Drosophila melanogaster: one gene and its partners. The protein of the gene in region 2 interacts with the protein of the main gene of each other region in a pairwise test. Each region holds a gene or a part of one and is shown on either strand. Other genes may lie near its edges. The genes, in order: CG10472, PIG-S, Prosbeta2 and Pdh.

Region 1 (4,660 bases), on a different chromosome or scaffold from region 2:
TTGGGCGCCAATGAGATCAAGAACGCCAAGGAGAAGGGACAAGTTCGACTGATGGTGCCAAGCGAAAACTTCCAAATCTACCCTACCTGGAATCCAAAGAGATTAAAGGATGACATTGCTATAGTAAGACTCCCTCATGCCGTCAGCTTTAATGGTGAGTTCTGGTCCTTAACAAAGTGAACTACCTATCTCTGAAATATACATAATTTTAGAGCGCATCCATCCCATTCAATTGCCGAAGAGGCACTACGAGTACCGCAGTTTTAAAAACAAACTGGCCATCGCATCTGGTTGGGGTCGTTATGCCACCGGAGTCCATGCGATCAGCAATGTGCTGCGCTACGTCCAGCTGCAGATAATCGATGGACGGACTTGCAAATCCAACTTCCCGCTATCCTATCGAGGTACAAATATATGCACCAGTGGAAGGAATGCCCGTTCAACTTGCAATGGTGATTCGGGAGGACCTTTGGTTCTCCAAAGGAGGCACTCGAAGAAGAGAGTCCTGGTGGGAATTACATCCTTTGGCAGCATATACGGTTGTGATCGAGGCTATCCGGCGGCCTTCACCAAAGTTGCCTCATATTTGGATTGGATCAGCGATGAAACTGGTGTAAGTGCCCACCAGGATACCACGGAGGCAATATTTTTCGACCAGTATGTGAGGGAATATGGGAAACCACGTCAAAGCCGACGCTTGGAAACGGAGGAGCAGTTGGAAGACGATGTGCCCGACGAACTAGATGTGCATCCGAGACCCGCTTCCGATGAGGACATCTCCGAGAATGTCAGACCGCGAACACGGTCACGCCCGCATTCCGAACACGAGTTCTATTTCTTGTAACCCAAAAATAAACGTTTATTTTAAGATCAAAATCAACGCTTAGTCGCCGTTGTTGACCACACCACTCTTCTCTTCGATCCAGTCCAGGTAGTAGGTGATACGGGTGAAGACACCGGGCCATCCCACCTCGCAGCCGAGAGCAATGCCGAAGGAGGTGGCTCCAATCAGGGTGTTGCTGCCGTCATCCAGGACCAAAGGACCGCCGGAGTCGCCGTTGCAGGTGGAAATTCCGCCGGTGGTCTTGATGCAAATGTTGCTGGCGGCAACCAGACCGAAGTACCAGGGAGAGCAGCCGCTGTTGTTCATGATGGGAACCGTAGCGTACTGCAAAATGTCGGTCGCTCCGGTAGCAGCTGTGTGGAAAGTAAGGAAATATAGTTTAGAACAGTTCTAAGATATTTATAGGAACTACGATTAAAAACATTTTTGAAGATTAAAAACTCATTAAAAAATTAATAATAGAATACTAAACTAACAAAGGATTATAAATAAAGTGTAAAAACAATGTTGCGAAATAACAACAAAAGCAGAAAAGAGTCCATAAAAATCGAATTTTGATAATAAATTTTAAGTGGCCTTTTAATCCAAAGGTAAAATAAAGCGTGAAATTGGGTTTTTTCGATCGTAAATTGCATTAACGAAATACCAAAAATAGAATTTTCTGATAATTTTAGTCACTTTCTAGAATAATTTTGGTTTCTTTTACTTAGTATTTAGTATTTAATATTTAGTGTTAGGATAGATACATTCGCCTCTATTCTACGACCTAAACTAACTCTCTAACCTAACTCTCACTACATATTTTTCGAGTGCTAAACTTGCTGGTTACGTTAAAAGAGCTTAACTTTCTCTAGTAGTTATAAAATTGTAGTTCAAGGGTGTAAGGGTCACTTACAGTCGCTGATCTTGCCCCATCCGGAGGCAATGGCATTCTCTCCGCCGTAGGTGCTGTAGCTGTCGGATTTCACGGGCAGCTTAGCGGGCTGGATGTACTCTGTAATGTATATTAGATAATTGAGAATTTCTGCTATAAAAACCAGTAACGAAGCACTCACTGTTGAACTCAATGGGCACTGGCAACTTGATCAGGGAAATGTCGTTGGTGATGGTCTCGGCGATCCAATCCTCGTGCACGATCACATTCTTTGTCTCCACGAAGATGATCTGCTGTCCCTCCTCCTTGGCGTTGGTGCGATCGTGGGCGCCCAGGTAGACATCCACTCCGGTGGTCAGGCTGTCCGTGCAATGGGCGGCGGTGATGATCCAGCGGTCACTGATGATGGTGCCTCCGCACCAGGCAGCTCCTCCAGTGATGTACAGCAGTAGTCCCACCTGGTAGGGGAACTGGTTGGGCTCGGCAATCTGTCCTCCAGTAATCCTACCGCTGGGCAGGGTCTCGCCATGGACCTTGGGCATCGGGGTCTCGATGTTCAGGTTCTTGACCGAATTCCAGTCCACAGCCTGGGCCCCAAGAATGGTGGCCAAGAGCAGAACCGTAGCGCAGGCGAATTTCATTTTGATCACAACTAAAGTGTTGGCCAAGAACTCGGGCACTTTTATACGGATTTTAAAAGGAGCGTGGGTATCGTAATTCATTGATAATCTTTGGTGAATTAACCCGGCTGTAGTTAACCGAGGTGATTTATAATCGTCTATTTGCCACTACTGATAGAGCCGATGCTACCGATATTCCAAGTGATAAGCAGGGCAAGCAAACCAAGAAGTGTGAATCGATTTGGCCTATATTGGCAATAAAACCCAATCATGAGCAGATTAATCAGTTCGTAGTAGGCTTATCTATTGCAGTGATGACAAACCAAAGGTAATTAACCATTTAACGATGGTATATTAAAGGTTTTCTGAAACTAGTATTATGTTGACCTAAGACTTATAATAATAATTTCTTAAATAGAATATTTTACTAGAACAAAGCAAATCACCTTTGGAATGTTATATTCTTTTGATAATGTAATTGTATTATCTTTGCTAGAGCTTATCTGTAACACTTGTATTGGCGGCGATAGCAAAACCGCCGACATCGATTAGCAAAGGGGTTTTGTGATTTAATTGCATAACCCATAGTGCCCACATTCATAATTCTACCAGTTTAAACTGCGATGTGCCTATGATATGAGTAAACAGTCCGATCGTACGTGTGAACTTCCTGCCGACTCATTATGATGTCATAACAGCCGATGCACTTCCCTCAATTCAATTAAAAGGTTCGGTATTTTCAAAACAACTTCCAAACTTAATTAAAGCATGATACTTATGGAATCAAATGGAAATAAAATAAGTAAAAAAACAAAACAGCTGAAACAAAAGCGGAGAACTAAGCGAGACATGAATCAAAACGGAAATGGATTTAATGCAACAATTTTTGTTTGCTCAATTGAAGGTCGTCTTAAAGTTGAGCGGGCCCAAACAAAAGCCGTCAGTCACAATAATCTGGCCGAGACGAAGTCTAACTGGCCACAAGTTCACAGAGAAGAGCCACAGAGAACCCCCGTACCGTTTCCCATAGAAGGACAGATTTACCCATTTAATTAGCACAGCTTTCTAAAAATTATACAGCTCAAACGACACCTGTCAAGTGCCCAGGTAGGCAGGCACACATAAAACCGAATTACCCATATGACACTATCTCGTTATAAATCTAAAACATAGCCGTTCTATTAGCTTCGCAACAATCGTTGATAGATACATTTAGCAAATTGGCAATAATAAATGGCAAAAGTCCTTGAAGCAGGCCCACCACAGCAGAGCTAATTAAAACATTAAATGCGTAGCAAACTTTTAAACTGTAACAAAAAACACATAGCCAACTGAATCCAAATCAAACTGGGTGTGAAGCTCGTTTCAGAGGGTCGAACACTTAAATACACTAGGATGTTCATAAAGTCCAACCATCAGAGGAGAATAACTTTACGATGTATATCTAGTGTGAACAAACAAAACTATGATTAAATTTAAATCATCAAACTCTGAAACCGCTGAACTTCAACGGCTGTTGATCCAATTTCATTGATGATCCACATATCCCCACATGATAAAAATATCTTAATTCAAATGCATGGCAAATGTCTAATCTTATTTATGTTACATACACTTAGCAAGTGTATAATAATAATGTAATTTATAAGGCGGGATTAAACTGGTTTAAAGCAGCAGCGGTCAAGAGAACAATATTTTCGAGTGCAGTTGTAATGAGAAGCGAAATTATTTGATATGGGTGCGACTTCATAATTAATAAAAATGCATACATGCGCCGCCGCCCCCGGTGTGTAACATCTTAAATATCTTAAATTGAAAACACGAAATTTGTAAATAAATAAGATAAAAAGGCATAAACACATCCAAATATTAATTTAACAGTTAAGCTCTGAATGAAATATATGTATCCGTCTAATTGCATGCACGCACTCTTACACAGAAACACAACAATCATATGCAGAATTCAAATCGAACGCGTTCAAAATTAATTTGATGTGTAAATCTTTCAAAAGTGTGTCTCGAAAAGGAATAATGATGATTGCCAGTTTAGGAAGGAGGAACAAGTAGTCCTAATAAGACGAAGACGATAATAAATAAGATAAGTTACAATCGTAAATAAGAAAATACTTTTACTGGAAAATGTTATGAGTTTGAAGAATTTTTCGCACTTATGTGAAATTCGTTTGATTAAAATCACAAGGAGTTTTCTCGACATAGGAAGAATGTTTATCTAATCATTTAAAATATATATGTTAATTAATAAAAAAAACCAAAATGTCTTAGCGGAAAAGTAATTTACACTGTTAATTGTTTTTTTTTTTT
Region 2 (7,499 bases):
TAAACAGAAAAACCATTAAATTCTACCTATTGATCACTAACTAATGAAAATGATGAGCTAATAGAATAAGCATTCCTTTAAGCAAGTAATTATAATCGGTAAGTGATATTTTGAAATCAGTCGGAAACAAGACTTATTGGCAATATATGACTCACCCACCGACTGCGTGTCTGGCTGGCCTCCTGCCACGTCTGACATTCATCCGGCAGCGATCTCGCCGCTGAACCTGACCTATACGCGCCGTTCACACGCTGAGCGGACCGTGCTGGTCCGCCAGCAGCCAAGGCATCAAAATACAGCACTCCCAACGTTGAAAACTTTGGGAAAGATTAGTGGCACGTGGACTTGTTTTCAAAGCATTCAACTCTCTATGACAGATCAAAATTTTTGAGTTTTAAATCCATTTCCACCAGGTTTCTTTAAGATCTCATAGACCAAAATGTTGGCACGAATAATTTCTACCTACTTGTTATGCGCGGCAGTCTACAGTTTGAATATGCTGGAATACTATAGAACTGGCAAATCTAATCGACCGCGAGGCCCTGACGATGACATGTTCTACGTAAAACCGAAGTGAACCAATAAATCGCACCAGTAACAGCTTATAAAGAAAATATTGTTTTAATGAGGGATGATACTATTTGGTTATGGTTCGTTTACGACTGCTTCTCCTTCCGTCTGGCCTGCAGCACACCACGCAGCATGTTGAAGGAACTCAGTACAGGCACCATGATGGGCAAGAAGAGTGGAATGTAGATGGCGTACTTCTGCTCGTCCGGGAAGTACAACTGCGCCAGCAGGCTGGCGTCAAAGAATCCGCGCTCCGAGGCCACGAACGCACGCTTGGCCAGCACCGAAGCGTCCGCCAGTCGGTGCTCCAAAAGAGCAGCCTTGGCAGCCAAGATGTCGGCATAGGAATTTGTAATGGCGGCACCCACCTCGTCGTCTATCACAATGTAGCTGATTTGATCTAAACGAGAGGAGGAAGCGATTATTAAATAATATTGTCCAATTAAGGTGGTTATTAAACTTCTCAAGCAGTACAGATTCAATAAAAATAGCGTCAACCATTTTAAAAGCTACTTAATTATAAAGCGGAAATTGCAAATAGTTCATTTTTAATTGTCGAAGAGCCCTGAGTTTTGTATAATATCAGAAATAGGAATAATAAAAATGTTGACTAAACATCCTTCATTGGTATCTTTAAAAACGTACCCAACAGTTTGATGAGGCTCTGGAGCGTGCTGCTTGCTGTGGATATGTGTCGAATGGCACTGCGTCTTAGGTATGCTTCATACTCCCAGCGACGTGGCTCCAGTTGCTCGATATCCACCACCTTAACGCCCTCCATCTGAAGCTCACTGCTGATGTCGAGCAGCTTGTGCAGCTGGTCCAGCATCACCTGCATGTTGTCCGTGGTGCTGACATGGTAGGGAACTGCCTCCTGATCGCTCATGGCCGCAAGGCACACATGCTCTGGCGGATTAGCAATGATGAAGCCACCCCAGGGTGGCGAAATGAAGGCATCCACGTCGTTCCGCGTCAGCCGCTGATCCTTGCTGTTGTAGATGTGAAGCGGAGCGATGTGGCACGGTGGAATGTACACCACCAGGTTGATGGCCGGCTTGTCGGTGGTGCTGGCGCTTAGATTCTGGGCAATCGATGTCAGCAGATGAGGCAGAGCGGTTTCCTGGAGGGCGTAGTGTCGCCCCAATTTGCTCTGGTCGCGCACCTGCTTGAGATCAGCCTCGATGGCCACCCGGTACTTCCACTGCGATCGCACCGTGTAATTGGAAACACCGGACACCTTAGCCAACCAGGGCTCAATGTAAGCTATTGAAAATGTAAATTGGCATAAGTAAGTGAAGACTTTTTGTGGTTTTTCAATACTTACTCTTCACAGCCATTGCTATGTTCCACTTGGCATGGGTGAGTCTCGGTTTCGGATTCAGGACAGAGACAATCACATCGTAGGCTGGTTGCGGAGCTTCCGACTTGGCGCCCATCCGCTCATCGGTACTTAAAATTTGATTTATGCGATACGTCTGCAGGATCTTGGCGTGCAGGAGCTGGGCGATTTTGTTGGAAGCTAGGAGGTGTTAAAACAGCATTATTAGTTTAGCTAACTAATCTTTAATTTACTAGAGTAATTTTAGCTTAGTCCTTGAAATTTTAAGGAAAGGGTTTCATTGGGCATTAAAAGTATTCGAAAGCATTCGTAATCCTCGATAGTATAGTGGTTAGTATCCCCGCCTGTCACGCGGGAGACCGGGGTTCAATTCCCCGTCGGGGAGACCGATAAAATATATATTTCTTTTTAAAACCGCATTATCATGTAAATAATAAATTATGCGCTATACTTCTACTTTTAGAATTATTTCAATAATAGAAGGTGAAGTAACAGACAATAAAAGATTTGAAAAAAAAAAAAAAATGAAAATCTCATTTCTCCCAGACGGGGAATTGAACCCCGGTCTCCCGCGTGACAGGCGGGGATACTAACCACTATACTATCGAGGACCTTAAAAACTTCGGACATAAAAAGCCAACAAGTGTTTCCGTATCATTGCAATAGACTCACGTGTATCACTTCGCATCAGTGCCGATCTTTCGGTGGTTAGTAGCAGCTCCTCCTGCAGTTTGGGCCACTCGATGAACATGAAGTCGCCAACGCTCTGGACATGGTTCTCCAGCAACAGCTTCTCCAGAGCAGCTGGCGTGTGTGCTTCCTGGGTCATTGGCGTAGGAGATAGCTGCTTGAATTCCACAGACCATATTTCTAATGGGAAATGCATGCCGTTTAGAAATATGAATGGATAATGAATTTGCACCTACCATTGTCGCTGAAGGCGTTCTGCAGTTCGGCGATGAGCAACTGGCCACGACTGGTCTGTTGTGTGTAGATGGCCACCTGCACAGCCGTTTTGATCGGAATTTTACTCAGACTCAAAATTTCCGTCGAGGGCAAATTGACTCTGCGATTGCAACATTTAGGTATAATTGGAAAAACGCCGCCAGACATGGTTGACTCACCTGTAGACTGTGGTGGTGCGCCACCACATGGGCACGCCAATTCCAATGATGACCACGATAAATGCTAGTGTAGCCCCGATCCGGAACTTATCTGTAAAGTTAAAGAGAAGTGTTTGATTAGTTCCTGATTTATCGCGGTCGTAAGCGTTCTTTGGGTTCACACTTTATTACTTCGACAAAAAACTATAATATTTTGATTTGTGTTTTATAAAGTTTATTATGTAAATTAGTTTCTGTACAGGAGAACGGTATGAATGTTAATAGTCCTTGACGAGTAATTGTGCGCATGTTGTGAAACAGGATCACATGCTACTCCTTGTAGCTGCACGAAATAACAAAAACAGGTCCCTTTTCAAGGGGCGTGTTGCGCGACACGTATTTGGTGAACTTGGTGGTGCCCTCGCACCGGTATACTATGTTCAGGGCGTTGTCCACCGGCGTGATAGTAAGCAGAACGGAATCGTCCTCTTCCTCGTCATCGTAGTCCGATCGCCTTCCGTCCGTCGGTGCTTTTGCTGTTGGCATTTCGGCGTCGGGTGCGAGGTATGTGATCACCGCTGCTCCTTCTGCCGCGTTCAGGTAGTAAACCAGGTCCAAAGTGTTCTCCTCGCTGGTCAAACCGTCGCCCAGCACTGTGTAGTTGCCGTGGGACCAGCGCTGCAGTTCCACGCTGCATGTTGGACTTTCGGCATCGGTGCCTGCCAAATCCAGATCGGTGAAATCTCGCAGCAAATCAAACATGGCGTGGCTACGGAACAGTTGCAGTAGTTCCAGTATGGTGCCTCTGGCTGTTGTCAAATCCAGCACTTCATAGTTGTGTGCGTTTGCGGGTCCCTGTCTTCGCCACTTCAAGGTATCCGAATCGGCCAACAGCTGCGACCGGGCCAATTCGAATTTCTCTCGCTTGAAGAACTCGTATAAACAAATCTCGGAGTTTTCTTCGATCCGCTTTTGGATGCTCCGGCGGGTGGCCCCCTTTAGATACACGTTGTTTAGAAACAGGCCAAGCGGTGGCCTATTAAGGCCATCAGGTTGCAGGTAATTCAGGCGGGGAAAGGCGCGCAGGGAGTCGGCCACGAAGGCCTCATTGGTATCGCCGTGGAACCATCCGTTTATGGTAAGACGCGGGTAGTCGAATGTAGTAACCTCGCCTACTTGGTGGAAGGAGCGCGAGCCCACCTTGAAGAAGGCAAACTGGTTGTCTTTGGGGGCGATCTTTCGCTGCACTGGAAACTGTGGAAAGCACTGATCGTCGCTACCGAAGATCTCTAGGCATCCGCCCTGCTCATCCGTCCATTCCTCCGCTCCTTCCCAAGGCGATAGATAGTAAATGAAGGCCACTTGTCGGTCCTTAAGCAGATCGTCGTGCACGAGCAGATAGTCGCCGCAGGTGTACATGCTGCAGGAGGCGGACACATAGTCCAGCTTGAGGTTGGTAACCTTCTCCAGCCAGGGACGCACTTGTTTGCGCAGCACCTGCAGGAAGTTGGTCAACAGTCGGCAAGCGGGCATGTTGGAGAGGTCGGCGCTCTGGTAGAACTCATACAAATCCATCTGTTTGCGCGACCACTGCACCTTCTGGATGATCTCGGCGACCAGCGCCTGGCTTTGGCCCTTCTCCAGCATGCCGGGCAGAAGGCAGATTTGAAAGGGATCCGAGAAGACCTGAGCACCGGTTTGCGTCTCCTTGGTCCCTTGGCTCTTCTCCTCCGTCCAGGCTGTTTGGAGCCACTTGGTAAGTTCCGGTTGCTGATACGCCTCGTTCAGGAGCACTTCGTTCGTTTCAAGGATGTCGCCCAGGCGCAAAAGCTTCCTGTGCGGCTCGCCCACCTGATCTGCGGAATCCTCCTGCTCTGCACGACCATCTGCAAGGGCAACATAGTGAATGGGTTTGCATTAAGCGAGGCAAACAGGGGCATACCTTAAACTTTAATTTGGCTATTTTTTACGCACACCAGCACTCACACACGCGTTATCAAAGGCAAAGGCAAAATCAAAGGCACCGATGTGCCGGCACACCTCGCTTTATCGTTTTGGGGCAGATTTCTCACTGTTTCCACTTACCTTCGTCCTTGTCTTTTCTCCTGGGCTTTACTGGACTGGAGCTCGAGGTTTCCATGATGCTGTGAGTCAAATTTTCGGTTAAAAACGTGAATTTTTGCCAGGGAAAATAAAAAAATTGGCTTGTGCAGCTAGAGATGGTAGCTCGGAAATATCGGTTGTTCTGTGCAAGTGTTGGGTAGTTAGCTTATTCCACGCAGTATCAAATACCTAGCTAAAGTTTAGTAGCTAAAAACTTTTGGCATTATATTGTAAACAATAAAGGGCGTATATAAGTAATAATATATAATATAATAATATATTGAAGGCATTCAGCATTAGCATTCAACTCACTAATCACACTTTCATTTTATACTGATCATCACTGATTGTACGTGAGTGTCGTGTGTTTCGTCGTCGCCTCACGCCTCCATCCCTAGCCAATTAGTAACGAACAATTGCTCGATCGGCTCCACGTAAATAAAGTTTAGATCACAGCTTTGTTGATTGCTTATCGCGGTGGCAAATATAGTTATTCGTTTATGGCTGTAAACTTTCGAAACGGACGTGGACATAGCCGGTAAATTAAAACTTGAAGATAAAACCTAGCTGGTGACAAAGAAATTCCAATTGGAGCAGTCCAATGCCGTGGAATGACCTTGGAAGAGGCGGAGCCACCATTCAGCCCTCCATATTATAAACAAAAATACTATTGTGGAATGTTCACAGCTATTTTGTATAAAAAAAATATTTGGCTATCAGTCTGTGCGTGCTAGGGCCAAACAGCTGATTCCGCCTGGCTGCCACCTGATTTGTTGGGGGTGTGAGTGGGGCTGGGGCTGTGGTATTCTGTATGCTCGCGATGATCTCATTGTGTTGGAATCGGAGCAAAAGCTAAACTAAACAACTTGACATGTGTTCTTCTGCTCCTGTGTAGCTACCTAGTGTTGGAGGATACGGAGGAGCAATGGGCAAGGATCAGCATTTGCTGGAGGCTTCGCGAGCCGGCGACATCAAGACGGTGGACAAACTGCTGGAGCACTCGAGCAAACGACATGGCCCGCTGTCCAGGTGAGTCACCAGCAGCAACTGTTGTTATTCCAGGTAGTTTACTACAGGTTTTCCTTTACAGTTTTAGGCGAAGTCCCAGCATCAACTGCCAGGACATGAATGGCTACACTTCGCTGCATCACGCCTGTCTAAATGGGCATAGCAACATTGTACGGCTACTACTCTCCCACAACGCGCTGTTGGATGTGCCTGATATACGTGGCTCGACACCTTTATTTCTGGCTGCCTGGGCTGGGCACCAGGACATCGTCAAGATGCTGTTGATGCACTCGCCTACGGGAGCCAATCCGAATGCCCAGACTATCGAAAACGAGACGCCGCTGCACTCAGGCGCCCAACATGGCCACAATGCCGTGGTGGCCATTTTGCTGTCCTATGGCGCCGATCCTGCCATACGCAACAATAGCTTTCAAACGGCTCTGGATTTGGCAGCGCAATTCGGACGCCTTCAGGTGGTTCAGACCTTGCTCCGTGTTTATCCCGACCTCATATTGCCGTATAAGCGTTTGGAAGATGACAATGAAGAGCTGCTGGGCTGCATGCCCATAAAGCACATATTCACGCACACCTGCCTGCACCTGGCCAGCAGGAATGGGCACAAGAAGGTGGTGGAAACACTGCTGGCGGCCGGCGTCGATGTCAACATACTCACCAACGCTGGAAGCGCTCTCCACGAGGCGGCTCTCTGTGGCAAAAAGTCCGTTGTGGTCACTCTGCTTAAGGCCGGTATCTACGTACACGCCACCGATGGAAACGGACGCACAGCCCTGGACATACTCTCCGATTATCCGCCGCATGTGACCTACGACATTGTGGGCGCCATAAACGGTGCGTACGAGTAAGAAGTAGAAGAAATACAATAAAGGGGCTATGGGTAGTGGCTGGAAATGCTTATCTTTACTGATATCTAAAGTTAATACAGCTCTTCATAAAGCTTTGTAATTCAAAACATTTATTTACTCTATTTGTAATAAATGTTACACCCTATTTATTGAAGGCAACCAAATAAGATCGAAATTATTTTATTGCTAATATAAAGCTGTAAATATATTCTTGAAGTTATGTGAGTAAGCGCAGACAGTAAATAATTGATAACGATTTCAACAGGCTTTATTATTTGAATCTTTAATAGTGCCTCCAAACCACTAACGCCCACGATCTTTTGCAGAGTTCACCCAAGCGGCGAGGGAACATCAGAAGCCACTTGTCGTAGAGAACGGCACACAATCGCTGCCGAAGCGGCTGTACGAGAAGAACTCGCAACGACAGAAGGTGCCGCCCAGGCAGAGGAAGTAAGCCCAGCAACTCCATGCACAGTGACACTGAAACACACACCCACATCACTGCTGACCCTA
Region 3 (4,100 bases), on a different chromosome or scaffold from region 2:
GTTTTTAAAGAGACAATTAAAATAAAAGAACTGTGAGCAAAAAAGAGAAACCCTAGCATTGGCAATTAAAAGAATATAGAATCATTAAATCGTAAAATAAGACCAAAGTGTTCTTTTATATAAATTCTGCCTTACGAATGCTAAATCTATAAATAATAAGAGCTATCCAGAATTTCATTCCATAAGATAATTAGCTTGTAAGTTAAAATGGTAAAAGCAGAATTTTGTTTGCTCATATCCTTTTAAAGACGGATTTTCTTTGTTATAACAAATTAGGACGCTCTTTAATGATTTACTTTTTTAACACTTACAGTATAGTTTTAAATATTAAAGAACGTTTTAAGATAATTGCAGTTGTTGTTGTTCCTCAAATGGTTCATTGGGCAGTCGTGCGGGGCTCTAAAATGTGTTTTAAATTTGTGACACAGCTCTTTATCGAAAAACGTCGAGATATACTCACAGGTTTCTTAGAACGCTCCTCCAATACACCAAATGCAACATGATTCAGTTGGAAGCCAGACGGCAGTGCAACGCCCTGAATGCGATAGAAAGCACCAGAGGGACCCTCCTCCGCAACTTTGTGGGCAGCCGAGATGACGCATTTCCCCAAAAAGCTGGTAGACGCCACCATTGGACCGCGTGAGATGTCGATATGATCACCCAGGCGATACAAGGTGACCCTTCCATTGGTCTGCTGCGAGATGCTGGGCAACTGTTCGCTCTTATACTTGGAATCCTTGAACATCTCCTGGGCCAGATCCTGTTGGACGTCCAAACGCTCGATGCGCAGATCCTGAGCAGCCAGTTTAACCATCTCTGCCGAAAGGGCGCGCATCTCTTCTTTTCCTGGCTCCCAGTTCTGGGTTTGGAGCACAATGTCGTGTACGAAGCTACCTGATTTGACTGTGAAATGTAATAGGAGTAATTTTATAATTTGTCTCGCTTATAGAATATTCCAGACAGTATTAGTTTTAAGATATATATCTATGAAATTTTCATCCAATTAAAAGGGGGAAAGACGAAACCTAGTAAAAAAAATATCCTAATCTTAAATCCTAAAAAGTGATTCTGCTTACTATTGGGTCCAGGAAAGCTGTGGAGCTGAAGATTGGCCTCCGGCTTGAAAGCGCGGTTCAAGGCGGCTCCCAACATAAAGCTGCAAGTGCGCCAGAATGCTCTAAAAGTAAACAACATAAGCAAGTTTAATATAAATGCCATATTATAAATAGTATAGCACTCACTTGTTGACCACATGTGGCTCGGAAACATGGAAGTTAAGCAGCTGCAGAGTACAGGATTCCTGCAAGGGTCTGTGCATATCCCAGGGAACACTGCCGTCGATCAAGGCCAGTGCCGATCGCTTACAGTGCCCCTCACTCAGATGCTGGGCGCAATTGAAGGGCGTTGAGATGTTGCCGTTCATCACCAGAGTGACATCCTCGGGAAGTCCCAGATACCGCACCTCGATCTTATCGATTCGACCCACTGCATCCCGTTGACGGCGCTGCTCCTGGTTGAACAGGTCATTCCGCTTGGCTAACGATGCAGAACTGCCACTAAAGTTGGCTGTAGGGATAATTAATAAGTTAAAAGACATATTTTATAGTACAGTTTCAACAAATTGAATTTAAATTATGGTTGACTATCTAAAATAATAACTGGGATCTATAGAAATTCTAGCGATTTTTCCGCCAAGACATCAACGAACTGCCATCACTAGCCGAAGAGCTCCGCGGAACGTGAATGACTGCCGGCATTATGTAAACCACTTCCTCCATCTTTGGTCAATAAAAGGACTCCTAATTAGTGTTACTTACCCTTAGTTCTGTATTGTTGAAGCTGCCGCAGGGCGCACCAGCTTGTTTTATGTAATTTGGTGGCCGCAGACATGGTAAATTACCAAAATACTCTTCAGGGATGCAGTTCACAAAAGTGATGGTACTATGCCAAGATGGTCAGGTGGAAACAGTATATCGATATTTTTCAAACATGACTATTCGCTTACAAAAGATAAGGGGCCTTCCTAAGCACTTATTGCATGTATACTGCGGGGAATATTTCCAAACATTAAAAAGTTTTAAAATTATACAATGCAACATTAAAATATTAAAATAATACAACATTGAATAATTTAAGTTACATAAGTCAAATTATTAATAACGTCAAATTATTAATAATTTATTTCTTCAATACTATCGCTCTAGTTGAGTCCATGAATATATATCGATACAATATCGATTGTACTTCCAGCTCTAGCAAGCATTTAACAATTTTGTTTGTCATCGCGCTCGGCAGAATTAAAACCTTAGTTTTCCTTGCTAATATAGTTGAATTGAAGAATATATATAATGGATTTGGATAACGCACGCGATCTGCCCCGCGCTGGTTTCAATTTCGACAACTGCAAGCGGTAAGAATCGTCCAAGTTGTTCAGCAATACCCCATCGGCTTTTATTAATTGGTGTTTTATTTGCTTTCAGCAATGCAACTCTTTTGAATCGAGGCTTCAAGCCACCGACCACCACCAAGACGGGAACCACAATCGTTGGCATCATCTACAAGGATGGTGTTATTCTGGGCGCCGATACGCGAGCCACCGAGGGACCCATTGTCTCGGACAAGAACTGCGCCAAGATCCATTACCTGGCCAAAAACATATAGTAAGTCCACCGACGGTATGCGCCTTTAAGTGCACAGGGAACCTAATAATACTATAAGAGGGATTACGGTATTTTTTCCTGCATTTCAAATGTGGGCCTATTTCCTTGTCCTCGCCGGCTTAGATCAATTTGTCTCCAATTTTAAGGGGCCCGTGTTTTAAGTTGAGGATCTTAGGGTGTAGCTTATGTTGCTCTAACTTAAAAATATGTGTACTTTCTAACATGCAAGTATCTCCCAATACCTAACGAAAATATTTACCTTCAGCTGCTGTGGAGCTGGAACCGCTGCGGACACTGAGATGACTACGGATCTCATCTCCTCCCAGCTGGAGCTGCATCGCTTGCAGACAGATCGTGAGGTGCGCGTTGTGGCCGCCAATACGATGTTGAAGCAGATGCTTTTCCGCTACCAGGGTCATATCAGTGCCGCTCTGGTGCTTGGTGGAGTGGATAAGACTGGACCCCACATCTATTCCATTCACCCACATGGAAGTTCGGATAAGCTGCCGTACGCCACCATGGGATCGGGTTCCCTGGCCGCCATGACCGTTTTCGAAAGTCGCTGGAAACCTGACTTGTCCGAAGAGGAGGGCAAGAAACTGGTGCGCGATGCCATCGCCTCCGGAGTGTTTAACGATCTGGGTTCGGGATCCAACATCGATCTGTGTGTTATCCGCAAGGGCAGTGTTGAGTATCTGCGCAACTATGAGCTGGCTAACAAGAAGGGCAAGCGCCAGTTGGACTACCGCTTCAAGACCGGAACCTCAACCGTGCTGCACACCAACATTAAGGACCTACTCGTCACCGAACGCGTCCAGGCGGTGCCCATGGAGATTTCTTAAAGCGATTCCCCTTTCTACCCTTTTCGTACATTTATTATAATAAAGCTTCGGCAGGATCTATATGGAGTGGTTCAATAAAGGAAGCCATGCTTCATCTTAAGTTGCTGTGTTTTTTTCTGGGGTTTTTATTAGACTAGCGATACTCCTAGGCGGACAATGCTTTGGTCATTAACGAACTCCTAGCCAGGGACCAAAAAATAATTATATTACAATGTTTTCCAAATTTAAGAATGTTTCCACATGGTTAGGGCACAGTGTCGAGTTTTGGTCCATCAATCTCTTTGTACTTTTACGATCCAGATTTTAAATAATTATTTTAAATTTAAATATTACCATGGAGCAATGATTTGAATTATTAAATACATTTAAATTAGGTAAAACAAAAAGGGGGTTTTGGTGATTTACGGACCCTGGCATAAATTAAATAATAACTATAAAAGAACATTAAAGCTTAAGAATTAATTTAGCTAATATCACATGGTACAGAGGGTCAATTCCTTACAGTTGAAGGCACTTTCCATCTCCTTAGAATAACGGGTTAATTGGCACCAAGAATTCACTTGATTGAGTCAGATCATACACACTCCTTCTAGGACTA
Region 4 (4,141 bases), on a different chromosome or scaffold from region 2:
TCCCAATTTGCCTTTAGATTTCCATCTCTCGAAATCTAGCTGAGAGAGCTTTGGCCTAGCTTTGGGTGGGTATAGCTTTGCCTTTGTCCAGTTCAGCATGGGTTGTGATATCATTGCGAAAGCGAAGTGAGTAAAGTACTGATAAGGTGTTCGCAAAGATACGTCTGGGAATAGCACCTACATATGTAGATAGTTGACAGTGACGGACAAGACCCACCGCAATGTTGGTGAGCGTTGTGGCCCACAGGTGAGGAACTGCGTAGGTGACAACCGTAGTCAACCGATTACGCAGGAGCGGAAAAGTTGCGTGTTGGAAGAAACCACTACAAAATGTTAAACAAAACAATGACCTATCAGGCTAGGCATATTATTAATAATAAATGATCCTCAGTCCATCTGTAAAATTGAAGGTTCTTTGTCCGTAGTTGTTTATTTATTACTGGGCATCTATTAAAACACCTGTAGGGTTCAGTAAAGGTTAAAAAAATATATATAATATTAAATATATTTTTCAGATCCACCATGTCCGAGGTAGCTGCAGCAAATGGAAGCCCCTCCCCAGCGCCAACTCCTGAGGTGCCCGCTACCGAGTTGGCCCAATTGGCGCTGGAGGATGAGCCCAAGGTTAGCTTTTCGGATCAGTTCAAGGCCTTCTCCAAGTTCGGGGACTCCAAGTCCGATGGCAAGCTGATAACGCTGTCGCAGAGTGACAAGTGGATGAAACAGGCCAAAGTTATCGACAAGAAGATCACCACCACGGATACAGGCATCCACTTCAAGAAGTTCAAGGCCATGAAGATCTCGCTCAGCGACTACAACAAATTCCTGGACGATCTGGCCAAGACGAAAAAGGTGGAGCTGTCGGAGATCAAGCAAAAGTTGGCCAGTTGTGGAGCTCCAGGAGTTGTGTCCGTTTCGGTGGGTTTGATAAATTGGTTGTGAAAAATATGATCTATATAAGTCAAATGATTAAGATTGATTTTAAAGTGTAAAGAACTTCGAGAAGACCATTTAGATATGACAAAATTTAAATGATTTTTTTTTGACTCATTTAAACTATCAATTGTTAAAGTAGTTTTCTTACAGAAGTTCTTAAAAAATATCTTTTTAAACCTTTGAAAGTCATAACCATATACTTTATGCCTTTATTGAAAACCTAATCAACATTTTGTTACCATTTTTAGGCTGGAAAAGCCGCAGCTGCCGTGGATCGATTGACGGATACGAGCAAGTACACCGGTTCCCACAAGGAGCGTTTCGATGCCTCCGGAAAGGGCAAGGGTATCGCGGGCAGACGGAACGTGGTCGATGGATCCGGATATGTGAGTGGCTACCAGCACAAGGACACCTACGACAATGCCCACTAGATGGGGTAACCACCGTTTTTCACCCTCTCATAAATCTGTATTTCTAACTTTTGTGTTTCCCTAGTTAATGTCTCCCAATCTAATTTATCTTTGTGTATATAATAAGTTTGTGATAATTTAAGTGCTTACAAATAAACTTATATTTTTGATTATAATTTTTGAGTTCCTTTACTTTGTTTATCCTTCTTTGTCCTTTGATACGTAAAATTTTGAAGCGGCCCAAAAAGAGTTCAAAAGTAAATCCAAATCAAATTTATATACATTTCATGGCAATCAAACCCATGTTTGGTAGTCTTAAGATAACAGATAAACTTTTAATATTACAATTTGTGAAAGAAATTTAAATATCACATATGGAAACCAAAGATATACGACATACATATGTAGATATATGTTATGTTTTCACAAGAATTTTGCTTGAATAAATACACTTTAAAATATTTGCATTGCTAAAATTTGTATTGGGAGGAAATACAATTTAAAAAACCAAAATTTTAAAGCAATTAAGATGGTTTTGTAAATCGAAATATACATTTAATTGTAAGATCTTTGAAAAATGCCCAACATGTGTACCTTCTTAAAAGCAAAGATTTCACTGGAAGATAGTTATTAAGAGATCATTGCTTTATCTACACAATGACATTATCACTGATGCAAAGCTGACATCGAAAAACCGGAGCGGTGTGAAGCAGACTGAACGCTACAGCGACCAGATGGGGATGGAAATTGATATATGGGCATAAGTTGCATAATCCTAACCCAGAGCAGGTGGAAAACTAGCTATTGATTGCAGTCGAACCAAAGTCACTCAACGATATATCATATAGCCCTTGGGAAATAGGTATAAAAGCGGCGAACATTACAGCTCCAAGTCAGCAGTGCAACTGAGGAGCTCAGTGCTTGATGAAGCCACAAGGAATACCACCGACTACTACACGAATCAGCCAGACCAAGATGTCCTTTCGCGGCAAGAATGCAGTGGTGACCGGTGGAGCTGGAGGCATTGGACTGCAGGTGTCCAAGCAGCTCCTGGCCGCTGGAGCAGCGGTTGGTTGTTTTACACATAATTACGTGAAGTAATTTCTAAAGCGAGTGCTTCCTAGAAGGTGGCCATCATTGATTTGCAGGATAATCTGGAGGAGTTTGTAAAACTTAGGGCCGCTCATCCCACCCAAAGCGTAATGATCATCAAGATGGATGTGGCGAACAAGAAGGGTGTGGAAGCCACCTATGAGGAGATAGCCAAGACCTTCGGTAACATCGATATTGTGGTCAATGTAGCCGGGATTTTTAACGACAAGGATGTGCAGAGGACTCTGTTGGTAAATCTCGGTGGAATCATCAATTCCACACTGAGTGCATTGCCCTACATGGGCAAGGATAATGGCGGCAAGGGTGGCATTGTGGTTAACATGAGCTCGGTGGTGGGTCTGGATCCAATGTTCATCATTCCCGTTTACGGAGCCACCAAGGCTGGCATCATCAACTTCACCCGGTGCTTGGCGGTAACAAGAATTTCTTACATATCTTTTGAATTAGGTTTTTCATTTAAGTCTCTTTCTTAATTAGAACGAAAAGTACTATCAACGCTCGGGCATCAAGTTTGTGACTGTTTGTCCTGGAGCTACAATGACGGACATGTTCACCAACTTTACGGAGAAGATCATCTTCCCGGAAACGAGTGACGAGACCTATAGGATCCTGGATAGGCTAAACAAGCAGAGTGCCGCTGATGTCTCTCGATGCATTCTGAATGTCCTGGAGAAGGACAAGAACGGAGCTGTCTATGTCATCGAGGGTAAGCGCGTTTACCCTTTGGAAATTAAGCCCCAGTGGACGGGCAAGGAACAGGCCCTTTAAGTGGGTTAATTCGTTCACATCCTAAACACATGCATTTTACAAATATGAAGTTATTATGGACACTAGTTATTTAATAAACAAACGATGCACAGAAATAAGTTCTTGTGGTGATTAGTCATCCCGCCAGCTGACCAGCACTTCGTCCGTTCGAAATCGCTGAGTCACATAAGATTCCTCAAAGGGCATCCTAGTGCCAGAGCGGAACATTTCTGCACCAGCATGGGCAATCATTAGTCCGTTGTCTATGCAGTAACGTTCATCAGTGGCAAAGAGTTTGCCTCCGCGTTCCTCGCACATAATACGCATCATCTCCTGGAGTCGCTCATTGCAACCCACACCTCCAACTATAAGGACCTGAAAAGAAGTCGGTTAACTCATAGATTAATTTCGGAAAACTGTTGCAACCAACCTCATTTGAGCCGCAGTGTGCCATGGCGCGCTCTGTGATCTCCACCAACATGGCGAAGATGGTCTCCTGCAGCGAATAGCAAAGATCGGCTTGGCTGTAATTATTGACCTCTTCTTCCTGTGGCTTTTTTCTCTTATTTTGCCTCTTGCCCGGCTCTGCCAGGTCCTCGATGTAGGATAAAATCCCCGAGAAGCTGACATCCATGCCCTTAACCACATAGGGCAGTTTAATATAACGATTGCTCGACTTGGCCAGCTGCTCGATGTTGTAGCCCGGACTAGGATCGTTGGACAGCTTAATGATGCGGGCGAATCGATCCAGGCAATTGCCCACTGCAATGTCTATAGTTTCGCCAAAGATGCGATATCGCTTATTGGAGTAGGCAATAACCTGTGTGTTTCCACCGCTCACATAGAGAACTGTAGGATTCTGGGCACCGGTGATCAGGCGACCCATCTCGATGTGTCCAATGCAGTGATTTACGCCCAGCAGCGGGATATTCCAC

Evidence for each region.
Region 1: the proteins of PIG-S (region 2) and CG10472 interact in a two-hybrid assay, tested with the Drosophila melanogaster proteins (one large-scale study listed by BioGRID).
Region 3: the proteins of PIG-S (region 2) and Prosbeta2 interact in a two-hybrid assay, tested with the Drosophila melanogaster proteins (one large-scale study listed by BioGRID).
Region 4: the proteins of PIG-S (region 2) and Pdh interact in a two-hybrid assay, tested with the Drosophila melanogaster proteins (one large-scale study listed by BioGRID).

The regions. Positions count from the first base shown.
Region 1 is NT_037436.4:6,060,535-6,065,194, forward strand, and holds CG10472 (uncharacterized protein), read right to left. Parts: upstream 2,377-4,660; 5' UTR 2,360-2,376; coding exon 1,900-2,359; intron 1,839-1,899; coding exon 1,740-1,838; intron 1,198-1,739; coding exon 884-1,197; 3' UTR 845-883; downstream 1-844. Other genes in the region: CG6592 (uncharacterized protein), read left to right, coding at 1-154, 213-844.
Region 2 is NT_033777.3:24,912,612-24,920,110, forward strand, and holds PIG-S (phosphatidylinositol glycan anchor biosynthesis class S), read right to left. Parts: upstream 5,254-7,499; 5' UTR 5,153-5,253; coding exon 5,098-5,152; intron 4,899-5,097; coding exon of another isoform or gene 3,343-4,898; exon of another isoform or gene 3,229-3,342; intron 3,125-3,228; coding exon 3,034-3,124; intron 2,976-3,033; coding exon 2,836-2,975; intron 2,780-2,835; coding exon 2,582-2,779; intron 2,521-2,581; exon of another isoform or gene 2,449-2,520; intron 2,295-2,448; exon of another isoform or gene 2,223-2,294; intron 2,090-2,222; coding exon 1,895-2,089; intron 1,834-1,894; coding exon 1,216-1,833; intron 1,075-1,215; exon of another isoform or gene 971-1,074; coding exon 657-970; 3' UTR 605-656; downstream 1-604. Other genes in the region: sud1 (sudestada1), read right to left, coding at 3,343-4,898, 5,098-5,152; CG11168 (uncharacterized protein), read left to right, coding at 6,041-6,144, 6,206-6,972, 7,313-7,436.
Region 3 is NT_037436.4:14,997,720-15,001,819, forward strand, and holds Prosbeta2 (proteasome beta2 subunit), read left to right. Parts: upstream 1-2,231; 5' UTR 2,232-2,348; coding exon 2,349-2,410; intron 2,411-2,480; coding exon 2,481-2,660; intron 2,661-2,925; coding exon 2,926-3,502; 3' UTR 3,503-3,600; downstream 3,601-4,100. Other genes in the region: mRpL39 (mitochondrial ribosomal protein L39), read right to left, coding at 340-399, 461-903, 1,077-1,177, 1,242-1,566, 1,818-1,890.
Region 4 is NT_037436.4:16,352,411-16,356,551, reverse strand, and holds Pdh (photoreceptor dehydrogenase), read left to right. Parts: upstream 1-2,254; 5' UTR 2,255-2,270; coding exon 2,271-2,414; intron 2,415-2,470; coding exon 2,471-2,872; exon of another isoform or gene 2,873-2,936; coding exon 2,937-3,227; 3' UTR 3,228-3,319; downstream 3,320-4,141. Other genes in the region: ringer (ringmaker), read left to right, coding at 523-918, 1,185-1,367; Tcs3 (Threonyl-carbamoyl synthesis 3), read right to left, coding at 3,339-3,581, 3,637-4,141.